3 linked regions of the Xenopus tropicalis genome follow. The main gene of each other region encodes a partner of the protein of the gene in region 3 in a complex. Links are inferred from orthologs where the notes say so. Each region holds a gene or a part of one and is shown on either strand. Other genes may lie near its edges.

The links. Proteins that work in one complex are often made in the same cells at the same time.
Region 1: mapkap1 (region 3) and rptor share a complex: the UniProt entries of both Homo sapiens proteins name them as parts of the mechanistic target of rapamycin complex. The link is inferred for Xenopus tropicalis from reciprocal best matches to the Homo sapiens genes MAPKAP1 and RPTOR.
Region 2: the proteins of mapkap1 (region 3) and hras are in contact, whole or in part, in a crystal structure (PDB 7VV8), measured with the Homo sapiens proteins. The link is inferred for Xenopus tropicalis from reciprocal best matches to the Homo sapiens genes MAPKAP1 and HRAS. Residues at the interface, in NP_001006618.1 of Homo sapiens: Glu277, Ser278, Phe280, Ala286, His287, Gly288, Phe289, Ser290, Leu291, Ile292, Gln293, Arg311, Arg312, Lys313; in NP_001123914.1 of Homo sapiens: Gln25, Asp33, Ile36, Glu37, Asp38, Ser39, Tyr40, Arg41, Leu56, Glu63, Tyr64, Met67.

The regions. Positions count from the first base shown.
Region 1 is NC_030686.2:26,930,964-26,934,463, forward strand, and holds part of rptor (regulatory-associated protein of mTOR), read right to left. Parts: intron 3,199-3,500; coding exon 3,115-3,198; intron 2,146-3,114; coding exon 2,035-2,145; intron 1,838-2,034; coding exon 1,763-1,837; intron 1,111-1,762; coding exon 1,045-1,110; intron 1-1,044. UniProt on the Homo sapiens protein: Component of the mechanistic target of rapamycin complex 1 (mTORC1), an evolutionarily conserved central nutrient sensor that stimulates anabolic reactions and macromolecule biosynthesis to promote cellular biomass generation and growth.
Region 2 is NC_030680.2:34,309,507-34,313,006, forward strand, and holds part of hras (GTPase HRas), read right to left. Parts: intron 2,638-3,500; exon of another isoform or gene 1,682-2,637; intron 1,570-1,681; coding exon of another isoform or gene 1,557-1,569; coding exon 1,446-1,556; intron 1-1,445. UniProt on the Homo sapiens protein: Involved in the activation of Ras protein signal transduction. Ras proteins bind GDP/GTP and possess intrinsic GTPase activity.
Region 3 is NC_030684.2:27,813,205-27,817,300, reverse strand, and holds the start of mapkap1 (target of rapamycin complex 2 subunit MAPKAP1), read left to right. Parts: upstream 1-1,296; 5' UTR 1,297-1,413; intron 1,414-4,096. UniProt on the Homo sapiens protein: Component of the mechanistic target of rapamycin complex 2 (mTORC2), which transduces signals from growth factors to pathways involved in proliferation, cytoskeletal organization, lipogenesis and anabolic output.

The DNA.
Region 1 (3,500 bases), on a different chromosome or scaffold from region 3:
CATGCATACAAACGGAACTCTTACATAAGTAGTTAATTCCATCTATAAAAACAGCTGTCACTGCCCAATGTTTTACTACAAGGAACTGCACAGCATTGCCTTAAACCAGCACAAACCATACAGGTATTATCAGACATGCTTGGGAACTGGGGGTTTCAGGATAAGGGATCTTTCTGTAATTTGGATTACCATGCCTTAAGTTTACTAAGAAAACATTTTAGCATTAATTAAACAACAGGATGAATTTGTCGCTAATATGGATTGATGCAAGTTTCAGTAGAAGGTATTGTCTCATTATTACAAAAAAGGGAACTAATTCTTGAAAATGTAAAATTATTTGCTTAAAATGGATGATGACCTTCCTGTAATTCGGAGATTTCTAGATTTCCGTATAAGGTATCCATACCTGTATTACAGGGGATGCAAGATATTATTATCATCTATTCACGGTGCCTGTGGCTGTTGGCAACGCGTTTCGCAGGCATTTCCTGCTTCATCAGGCAATGTAGAATAGGAGCAAAAACCAACAGTGCAATATTGTTGTGAATAAATTATTATTGAAAATTACCACTTTTGTTGGTGTCTGCTTGGAGGAGGTAAGTTCATTACTACCTCCTCTGAATTACCCATTGGGTTTTTAAGTGTTTTTAGCTAATTTTATCCTTTAGGCGCCTCTGTTTTGTTTTATCATTATACCGAGTCCACCCCGAGTGGAGGGGTGTCATCCCCATTTTTCTTCCTTCTACAGAGAGCGACTTCTTATTCCTGAGTGGGGTCAGGATAATCTCCCCACCTGCCTATACAGTGGTTGCCTATTGGTAACCCTGGCTTGTGAGTATTAATTTGTTTACTCTACCATTACTCCTTGTAAAAACAATTTACACTATTGGGGCTCTTGGTGTTCCTTTTTGTCTTCACCTACACAAAAGGTGCACCAAACACATAAGTACCTACATTTATTCATTTAATTACCTTTAATTAATTACAACTGAGCCTCAATTCAACACTGTTACCAGTGACTAACTTTATGTAATATATACTCACCTGGCCAGTGTTATAATTGTTAACAATTACTGCTAAAATGAAGGAGGTCATTGTACGGTGCTCAGCCTGGTAAAGACAAAAATGCATGATTGAATACTTAGTCCGTTTACAATTCAATACAAGGGCTCATTTATGAACTGGTCGGTGCAAGTGCTGTCAAAATAATGCCCTTTAGAGCACCATATACTTTGCAAGGGATAAACACAAGTGTTAAGTGTGCTGTGCACTTTACACCAGTTGTGATGGTGCAAGAGTTCAATGGTCAGGGGAGCATGGGAGTAATGTATTTAATGCCTGCCTTGAGAATTGTGGGCATTTACTAATTTGGCACCGTATGCCCATTAGTAAATAAGCCTTTGGTTCTTGAGCATGATTCTTACTATTTACATAGAGCAGATTATTGTTTTTAAATAAGATGTATCAATAGTCTCTATTCAAAAAGGCAGAACTTTAAATACATATGGGGTCATAACGCATATTAAAATATTATGCATAGTATGAAATGCTTTCAGAAACAAAAGCATAAAAAAAAAAAGACTGATGTATGTACAAAATGTTTCTTAAATAAAGTGGATGGGAAACCTTCCAAATGTTTAGGGCATTTTAGATACAGCCCTTAGCACAGATTAGCTTACTAAAGAGCAAAAACATTCCAAACTTTACTGTGCCTATACTATCTAAAATCAGTATGTGTACTGGAAATGCGCATTGATCTTACCGGCATATATGGATCCGCCAGAACAGAAAGAAAATATTTATGGCCATTATCTTTTACTAAGTCTGCTTGGCACGACTAGGAAAGAACACAAAAGGGAACCAAGTTAGAAAAGCTGTTCACATTGCTAAACAGTTTTATTACAAAATAAAGCTTCTTGGTTTTAAATTCTAGTTAGTTTGTACTGTTTCAAAATCCAACACACATATACTGTTATACATATACTACTGACATTCCCTTACCACATGAATGGCTATTTGGTATCTACTACTTACACTATCAACAGCAAGGATCTTGGCCCAAATAAAGACAAGCAGTGGCCGGAGTTCCCGAGCTGAGCTTTGGAGCAGCTTTAGCACATAAGGGAAAATACCAACAGAAAGGGCCTGTACGAAAAAGGGATATCAATGATATTAAAGACACATGTAACACAAAATATACAAATCTGTTAATTGGGTTTTTAAGCTAATGTATTGAACTGTAAGGGGCGGTGATTATCATGTAGCAATTGTGCATCTCTCACCTGTTCCTCTACCTGTAACTTTTTGCAAATAAAGTTTATATGTTTCACATCTCAAAATACAAGGCCGGATTGGCATATTTACCACATGTACTAGTAACCATTGTGCCAGCCATTAGGAAAGCATTAACTGCACTGTACCTGAAAACAGGGGAAACTAATTGTAATTAGCTTAGGTGACTTGAAGCTATTCGGCCTAATGGAGGTCTGCATACACATGGGCTCCCCAACTATGATTGCTGCTGCACAGTCATAACAAGATGTTGAAGGTGGTAAGAAAAGTGCACTAAGTATAGTTATGTAACCAAAACGTGTAAAGCTCTATTATCTGCCAGCAAGAACAATTATGGTTTCTCACATTAGTGGCCTGACAGAATCAAATCCTTTTAACTGCTCACATAAGGTGCTAAAAGGCCAAGAGGCTCTACAACAATGGCCCAGTAGAAGTGCTGCTTTGTTTCAGTCATCAAAAGAGCTCAGCAGAGAGCACCCTGCTAAGTCCTACTACTTAGCTCTACTAATCCTTGAAGAACAGAAGAGATGCCAGATTTATTCACTCAGTGAGGTCAAAGCGAGCACATGCATGCCGGATGCACACTGAATTTAACGAGACATGAAGGGAATCCCAGTGAGTTTAAAGGCTAAATCCACCCCTGCTATTGAATGACTGTGAAAATGAGACATCTAAAATGTAATTATCACTCTTAGTAGATCAAAATATTGAAGATCACACATACTTTTTAACCACGTATAAGCACAAATAAAAGAAATTGAATTATTAGTTAACCCACAACCTTCCATAGTAATCATAACCGACTGCACAGAGAATATGTACCAGACTGACAGCCCAGGGACCCAGATCCAAGAATCTTCCCAAGAGGTCCAAGGCACGGAGTCTATGAACCTGGCTCAGCAAAACCTAGAATGGGATCAGAAAGCAAGAGCAATGAGTTTCATAAGACAATTAAGATCCTACCAGTTAGCCACCACCATAAAGAAGACCTGAAGCTGGCTGGTGATTTAGACCTGTGGCTAGGGTTTGCCAAAAAAAGGTATTTTTGTTATTTATCTTAGTGCTTGTAAAAAATTTAGTGTGCTTTGCCATTTTTTAAACTTAAACTTCTTTGAGGATGACATTGAGAATTAATGTTTAGAAGGATGGTGGGCCTTGTTATAAGAAATATACATAATGGTAACTCCAGTTTAACCGGACATATTGAC
Region 2 (3,500 bases), on a different chromosome or scaffold from region 3:
TTTTGGGCCTGAAAAACACCCTGCAAACCAGTTCTGTTGTTGGGGTTACACTAAATCTATAGCTTGTCAATCGAGAGCTTGAACATTAAATTTCAAAAGATTACATATAATTGAAACATGTTAAATTAGTTTACATTTATTTTGATTGTAAAGTAACTGGTATTGTAAGCAGAATTTAAGTGTTGCCATTTGCTGCACTGACAGTTTTGACAACAAGTACCACTTAAAGAGGTTGTTTACGTTTAGAATGTTATAAAACGGCTTATTCTAAGCAACCTTCTTCTGCTTCTTTTCAGCTTTCAAATGGTGGTCAGCCAAAAACTATTGCTCTGTGAGACTAAGGTTTTATTGTCATGTTTACTTTTTGTTACTTATCTTTCTATTCAGGCCAGTCTCTCTATCAAATCAAAGCCTGGTTGCTAGGGTAATTTGGACCCAAGCAAGATAGCTGCTAAATAACTAAAAAACTACAAATAGAAAAAATGAAGACCAATTGCAAATTCGCAGAATTGCACTCTCTACATTATGCTAAAAGTTAAGTTAATAGTGAACAACCCCCTTAAGTAATGTTACAATGATCAGCCCTACCCTCGCAGATATTGCTTTCAATAAAATTACATTTACAAATAATTTCAAATCAACAAATATTTGAAATTAATATATATTGGAAAGTTGCTTAGAATAAAGGTTTCCTGCCCATTTACAAAATGTTATATTTGACTTTCACTTTAAAACTACACATTTTTTTAGGAACACCCTGAAAAATACAATCCAACCCCCCCAATATTATTAAAAAGCTAGTAAACCAAATGTCTGTCACTGATGGTTTGCACCCCTCCAGCCAACAATTGTATTAAGGAGCTCACGTGTCAACAAAGATCCTTACGAGGAAACAGCCTGCCATGTGGATGGCCAAGTCATGCAAAGACTCTCTCATTAGGCTGATCATACAAGTAAAGATTTTAAGATTGCCAAAGTCAGGGATCCCCAATATTTTTTTTTACCCGTGAGCCTTATTCAAACGTAAAAAGGGTTGGGGAGCAACACAAAGCATGAAAAATGTACCTGGGGGTACCATATAAGGGCTGTGATTGGCTATTTGGTAGCCCCTATGTGTACTGGCAGCCTACAGGTGGTTCTGTTTGGCAGTTCACAAACTTCAAAAACTTGCCTTCAAGCCAGGAATTAAAAAAATAAGCAGCTGCTTTGAGGCAACTGAGAGCAACATGGGGCTGGAGAGCAACATGTTGCCCCCGAGTCACTGGTTGGGGATCACTGGCCTAACTCTTGTATAGGTTGTAGTTTTGTATGTAATCCATATGTTCAGTGCATACACCTTTCAATTGCACAGCACTGTGGAATATGGTGGTAATTTATAAACACTTTCTGACTGGTTTCATTAAATTTAATATATTTACATTTCTTTATCCTAGAAAGCCTCTCACCTCTATGGTAGGATCATACTCGTCCACAAAGTGGTTCTGTATAAGCTGGATTGTCAGTGCACTCTTCCCCACGCCACCAGCACCGACCACTACCAGCTTGTACTCCGTCATTGTTGAAGACCCTCTGCAAGAGACAGACATATACATTTCAAGTAAACTGGACATTCCATTACAGATGCAGGTACAGAGCGGTTACAAAAATGAAGCCATATAATAAATAATAGCGTGTGGGTAACCTGCAGGCCTTTACACAAAGGAGATTTTCAGTAGGGCCTAGTGGAGTGTCGGAATTCCTATTTTGGACCAATGCCTTGCGGTTCTGGAAGGTAATCGAAGGTAAGGTTTCCTGGTATCATTTAAGTTTAAAAGACAACCCTGCTTTCAGCTATATATTCCACAATCTATAGGCTTAAAAGAACAATAAAAAAGTGGCAAGGAAATGGACATAAATGCTACTCTTTCATAATTTAAAAGATGTCATAATTCAATAGAAAACTGTACATTATGTCCTAAATAAAAAAAACAACAGATGGTAGCAGTTAGAGCAAGAGAAGTTTGGATTTGGAATGTCTGGGGGCCTGGTAAAAAGCTGTAAAAAGAAACCATACCAGAGACCACATAACAAATTGCCTGTGAAAAAGCAACAAAATACCGCCATGCTTCACAGATTTGTAACTAAAAACTTCCTGCACAGTTGCCGTTCCCTCACCTCCAAAGCAACCTCCAAAGACTCCAGTCTGACCCCTTCCAAAGGCCATTTCCTCACAAACACTCTCAGAGGAGGAAACTGGACCAGACGTTCTCCTGCTGCTGAACTATTCTGCTTATTTTATACCAAACACTAAAACAGACCGAGAGGACTAATCAGCTCCATACTGTTCCACCTAATGTCAGCCCAGGGCTACTTCAGACCCTTATAGATTGACATGGTTCCTAATAGTCTTGTTTGGTTAACTGAACCACGCAAAACAGCCAGCTACAAGTGGCAGCTACTAATTTACATACCCATGGGATGAGACAGAATGCTATATATCTGCCAGTTTGTGTGTGTATGTTGTATTTAGGGCTCATTGCTCTATTCAGAGCTTTCTAGACAGCGGGTTTAGAGATCCTATAATGTTTCCTATGTGAAGTGAACTATTTTCAGAAGCATAATCAATAAACATGGCAGCAGGTATACAGCTTGTTAATGCTGCCCTTGTCTCCTCTGTTTTCACCTTATAAACATCATCCAATATATTATATATATATATGCACACCATAAGAACAAGATAATACCTGGGTGCTCGTGCAGGAGGTATAGATACTCAGGGTAGGATTGACAGCACACGCAGGGTTTTCATATGAAAAATCACAAAGGTGTAGATGAATAAATGTGAGGCTTTATTCAGTCCGACGTTTCAGTTCCTATCTGGAACTTTCATCAGGGACAGCAACATCTCAGTGTAGTACAAACGTTTTTAAGCACAAAAGGGCGCCAAGCTTGTTGCTAGGCAACCACTAACACATACATAAAGTGACAAAATCAAATGGAAAACAAAAAAAAACATGAAAAAACGATTACAAAAGTGTTTATAGGTATAGACATATAAGGACAATGTGTCCAGGGCCAAAAGGTACATAAATGAAAGGATCTCAGTATATGGCAATAGCTGGTCGTTTTGTAGCAATATAAGGTTGCAAAACATGAAAAGCCCCAACCACTCTCTGCTCCCATAGCGCTGGGCAGGAACCGCTAGTACAATAGACCAACACCAAGGTACGGAACTTAAAGCACATTAGCATACTGCTAGCGTCGCCGTTGCTAGGCAACCAACCCCACAGAAGTGAATGGGCATCGTGGGCCACATCGTATTCAGCCGTCTAGAGAGGGGGATCATATATAAGGAGCCAACGGCAGACGCACAGGTCACCATAATAATGAACCCGGTGTCGCCGCATACGCTCACTGGTTAGTCAGGAGTGTGCCAGATTCATACAACTCCCAGGAGGCACATATAAGCAACAGACATCTGGGTCACCGTAAAGGTGAACCCAGTGTCTCTGCAATAGCCC
Region 3 (4,096 bases):
GGGGCCCAAGCTAAAAAAAACTGTATCATGGCAGGGCCCCCTTTAAAGCGAGAATTGTCAAGGCCCGGGACAACTGCCCCCCTGTGGCCCCCTGATGGCGGCCCACTCACTGTCACTGACTCTTCTATTCTTCTACTATTCTGAGCCTCCATAGGACTCAATTGTACTTGACAGATCAAACCTGCCGATTTTTTTTAGTTAAAAAAGTTAACTAAACATGAATAAATCACGAATTATGGGAGTTATTTTTGAAAAACTAAAATTTTTCATGGAACAATAGAGAAAAAATCGAGTTCTGCCGAAAACCCATTCATAAATCTCGAAATTATCTATAAGTAAGAAAAAATTAGACTTTTTGTAAAAATTGCTTAGTAAATGTGCCCCTATTTTTCCCAAACAGGAATCGCTCCAGCAGCCATTTTAGGAGCATTGTCGTCATTCTTAGAAAACAATAATGTGTTCAAATTTCATTTGAAACTAGGTGAAATAGAAAAAAATTATGAGATTAACTTCCCCTTGTTAAGATGTGAAATAGAAAAAAAAAACAGGGTATAAACTTCCCCTTGAAAGGCATAAAAAATAAGGGGATTAACTTTCCCTTTAAAACAGGGGATTAGCTTCTCACTGAAACTGAGTAAGGTTCCGAGCATTATGGATAACAGGTCCCATAAATATATAAAATTATTTTTTTCTAAAGAGAATCATTTTTAGTGTTTAGTTCTCCTTTATTAATTATTTATTCATAATATCAAATATATTTCATTAATTTATTGTACATGCTCATATTTATATATATATATATATATATTAATAAATTAATGAAATATATTTGATATTATGAATAAATAATTGAACAATGGGGTAAAAATAAAATGAATTTATATTAATTGAAATGAGGTGGGTACATATTAATCACATTATGTAAAGCATTAATAGTACATTGATTTCCCTTGAAATAAAAAAAAATGATCGATATTAAAACAATAAATAACCATTTGACCAAATAAAGAAATAAAAAAAATAGACTGTATTTCAATGAATTCAATTTATTTGATTTGCTTAAATAAAGTTTTCTTTTACATGCCATTATTAGATATACACTTTAAAACTATCAATAAAATATAAAGGTTACTTAATAAAAGCCATTCATTTATGTTATACAGTCACTTACTATAAAGAAATAGTGATGTTCTGCAGTGCTATCGATATTTGGCGTTTTTAATAAAGCTTGTTGAAAAAAAATTCTTTCAAGCGGTGTCAGGCACGCATGCGCATTTGGAACACAGACGCGCTCGATGACGTCATCCGTCAGAATGGCCGCCGGGAGACAGGCTAAACGGCGAGAGACATAATAAGACGGTGCGGGTTGTAGGAACAAGTAGAGGGAGCGGAACATATGCGGTTATGGTTGGGGTAAGGCGCCCTTGGCATTAGATATAATATAAAAGTTAGGGTTGACATCGCCTTTATAGTAAACAATACTCGATTGAAACAGGAATCAGCCTCTGTTTATTTTCTGTCAAACAGTTGTGACATTAGAACTTGAACATTGAATGTGCAGAACTTCCCCGCTTATAAACATGTATACGTATCCATGGCAACTGCCTTATTGCTGGCTTTGAATTAGGAAGTCTCTACAGAGTTCATCAGAACAGAGCAGTCTATTTAGGTACACTGTGCTGTCTCTCTGGGCTCTGATGGGAGCAGCTCAGCCTAAACATTCTATTTACAAATACAAATGGCGGGCTGGGATTATTTACTGCATTCAGTCAGCTATAATAATATACATCGCTTTTTGGTTTTAGAGAGAATAAATGGAATCAGTATTTATATGGTATGGTAGATACCATTTAATATACAGTATTAAAGGGGAAGAATACCTTCCAAAAATATGTCTGTTGTAAGTGCCTCGCCCCCCCCCCCCCCCCACCGAACTACTGCTTATATTTATATGAATATGTTTGGGATAAGAATACCCACTTGTTCAGCATGAGTGCAATAAATAGGGCTTGTACTAAACAATTTTTTGCCTATTAGTTAAATAACTAAAAAATCTTTGGGCTTTGTTATTGCAAAATTGCAAAATTGAAGCTCCTCCATAGTGTGTAAGTATAAACACTGCTGCACGTACAGTCGCATTGAAATAGGCGCAAATGTTGGGCTTATTGATGCCGTATATACTGTATATACTCAAGTATTAGCCGAGTTTTTCAGCACCCAAAATGTGCTGAAAAAGTCACCCTTGGGTCAGGTGAAATATACGCATTTTTGGACATACAAAAGTCTGACCTGCCAGCGATTCCCGCTCCCGCGAGGCTACCTAATAGTGCGCTCTTCTGCGCACCTGGGCGGAAGTGACATCACGTGCCCCCTGCTTGCCCACTTCTCTCCTGGGACCCCCTGCCAGCAATTCCCTCTCCCTCCAACCCCACCAGCCCCACTAATAGTGCGCTCTTCTGCCCGCCTGGGCGGAAGTGACATCACTTTCCCCTGCAGTTAAAGGAACAGTAACACTAAAAAAATGAAAGCTTTAGGGCTCTGGCACACGGGGAGATTAGTCGCCCGAGACAAATCTCCCTTGTCACGGGCGACTAATCTCCCCGAGTTGCCATGACCCGCCATCCCACCGGCGAACATGTAAGTCACCGGCGGGATGGGACACGCGGCGGCGCGATTTCCTGAAATCGCCGAAAAAGACTCGCGAGGCTTTTTCACCGATTTCGGGAAATCGCGCCGCCGCGTGTGCCATCCCGCCGGCGACTCACATGTTCGCTGGTGGGATGGCGGGTCATGACAACTCAGGGAGATTAGTCGCCCGCGAACATGGAGTTTTGTCGCGGGCGACTAATTTCCCCATGTGCCAGAGCTCTTAAAGTAATAAAAATATAATGCACTGTTGCCCTGCACTGGTAAAACTGGTGTGTTTGCTACAGTAACACTACTATAATTTATATAATAAGCTGCTGTGTAGCCACGGGGGCAGCCATTCAAGCTGGAAAAAAGGAGAAAAGGCACAGGTTACATAGCAGATAACAGATAAGTTCTGTAGAATACAATAGTGTTTTATCTGTTATCTGCTATGTGCCTGTGCCTTTTCTCCTTTGAATGGCTGCCTCCATGGCTACATAGCAGCTTATTTATATAAATTATAGTAGACTTTCTGAAGTAAACACACAACTTTTACCAGTGCAGGGCAGCAGCACATTATATTTTAGTTACTTTTATACACTTTCATTTTTTGGTGTTACTGTTCCTTTAATCTAAGCCCTGCAGTTTCAAGGTACTAGTTATCCCTAGATATGTATAGATCCTTATTATAGTTAATCAAAATTGATCGAAGTTAAACTCGTGTGTTTAACTTCAATCAATCAATAATTACCTATAATTAGTACCTAAGTATAGTATTTACCAATACAGGTATGGGATCCCTTATCCGGAAACCCATTATCCAGAAAGCTCCGAATTACGGAAAGCCTGTCTCCCATAGACTCCATTTTAATCAAATAGTTCAGAATTTTAAAACTGATTCCCTTTTCTCTGTAATAATAAAACAGTACCTTGTAATTAATCCCAACTAAGATATAATTAATCCTTACTGGATACAAAACAATCCTATTGGATTAATTAATGTTTTATTGATTTAATATAGACTTAAGGTATGGAGATACAAATTACAGAAAGACCCCTTATCTGGAATACCCTTGGTCCCAAGCATTCTGGATAACAGGTCCTATACTTGTATTGGCAATACTGATCAGGTATATCCATATCATGTGATCAGCATTGCAAATACAGGTGAATACTGTTAATTATTTATTTATTTTAAGTTGAACACATACAGTAAATAATATACAGTATACGCTCAGCCTCAATTAATGTAATTTTACTGGTATTTGTTTTGATTATTGAAACTTAGCAGTAGCTGCTGCATTTCCCACCCTAGGCTTATACTAGAGTCAGTAAGTTTTTCCAGTTTTCTGATGTAAAATTAGGTACCTGGGCTTATATTCAGATCGGCTTGTACTCAAGTTTATACGGTACTTGTTTCTCCTTGTACTTCTGTATATTTGCACCATGCAGTTTTGGGTCCATCCTG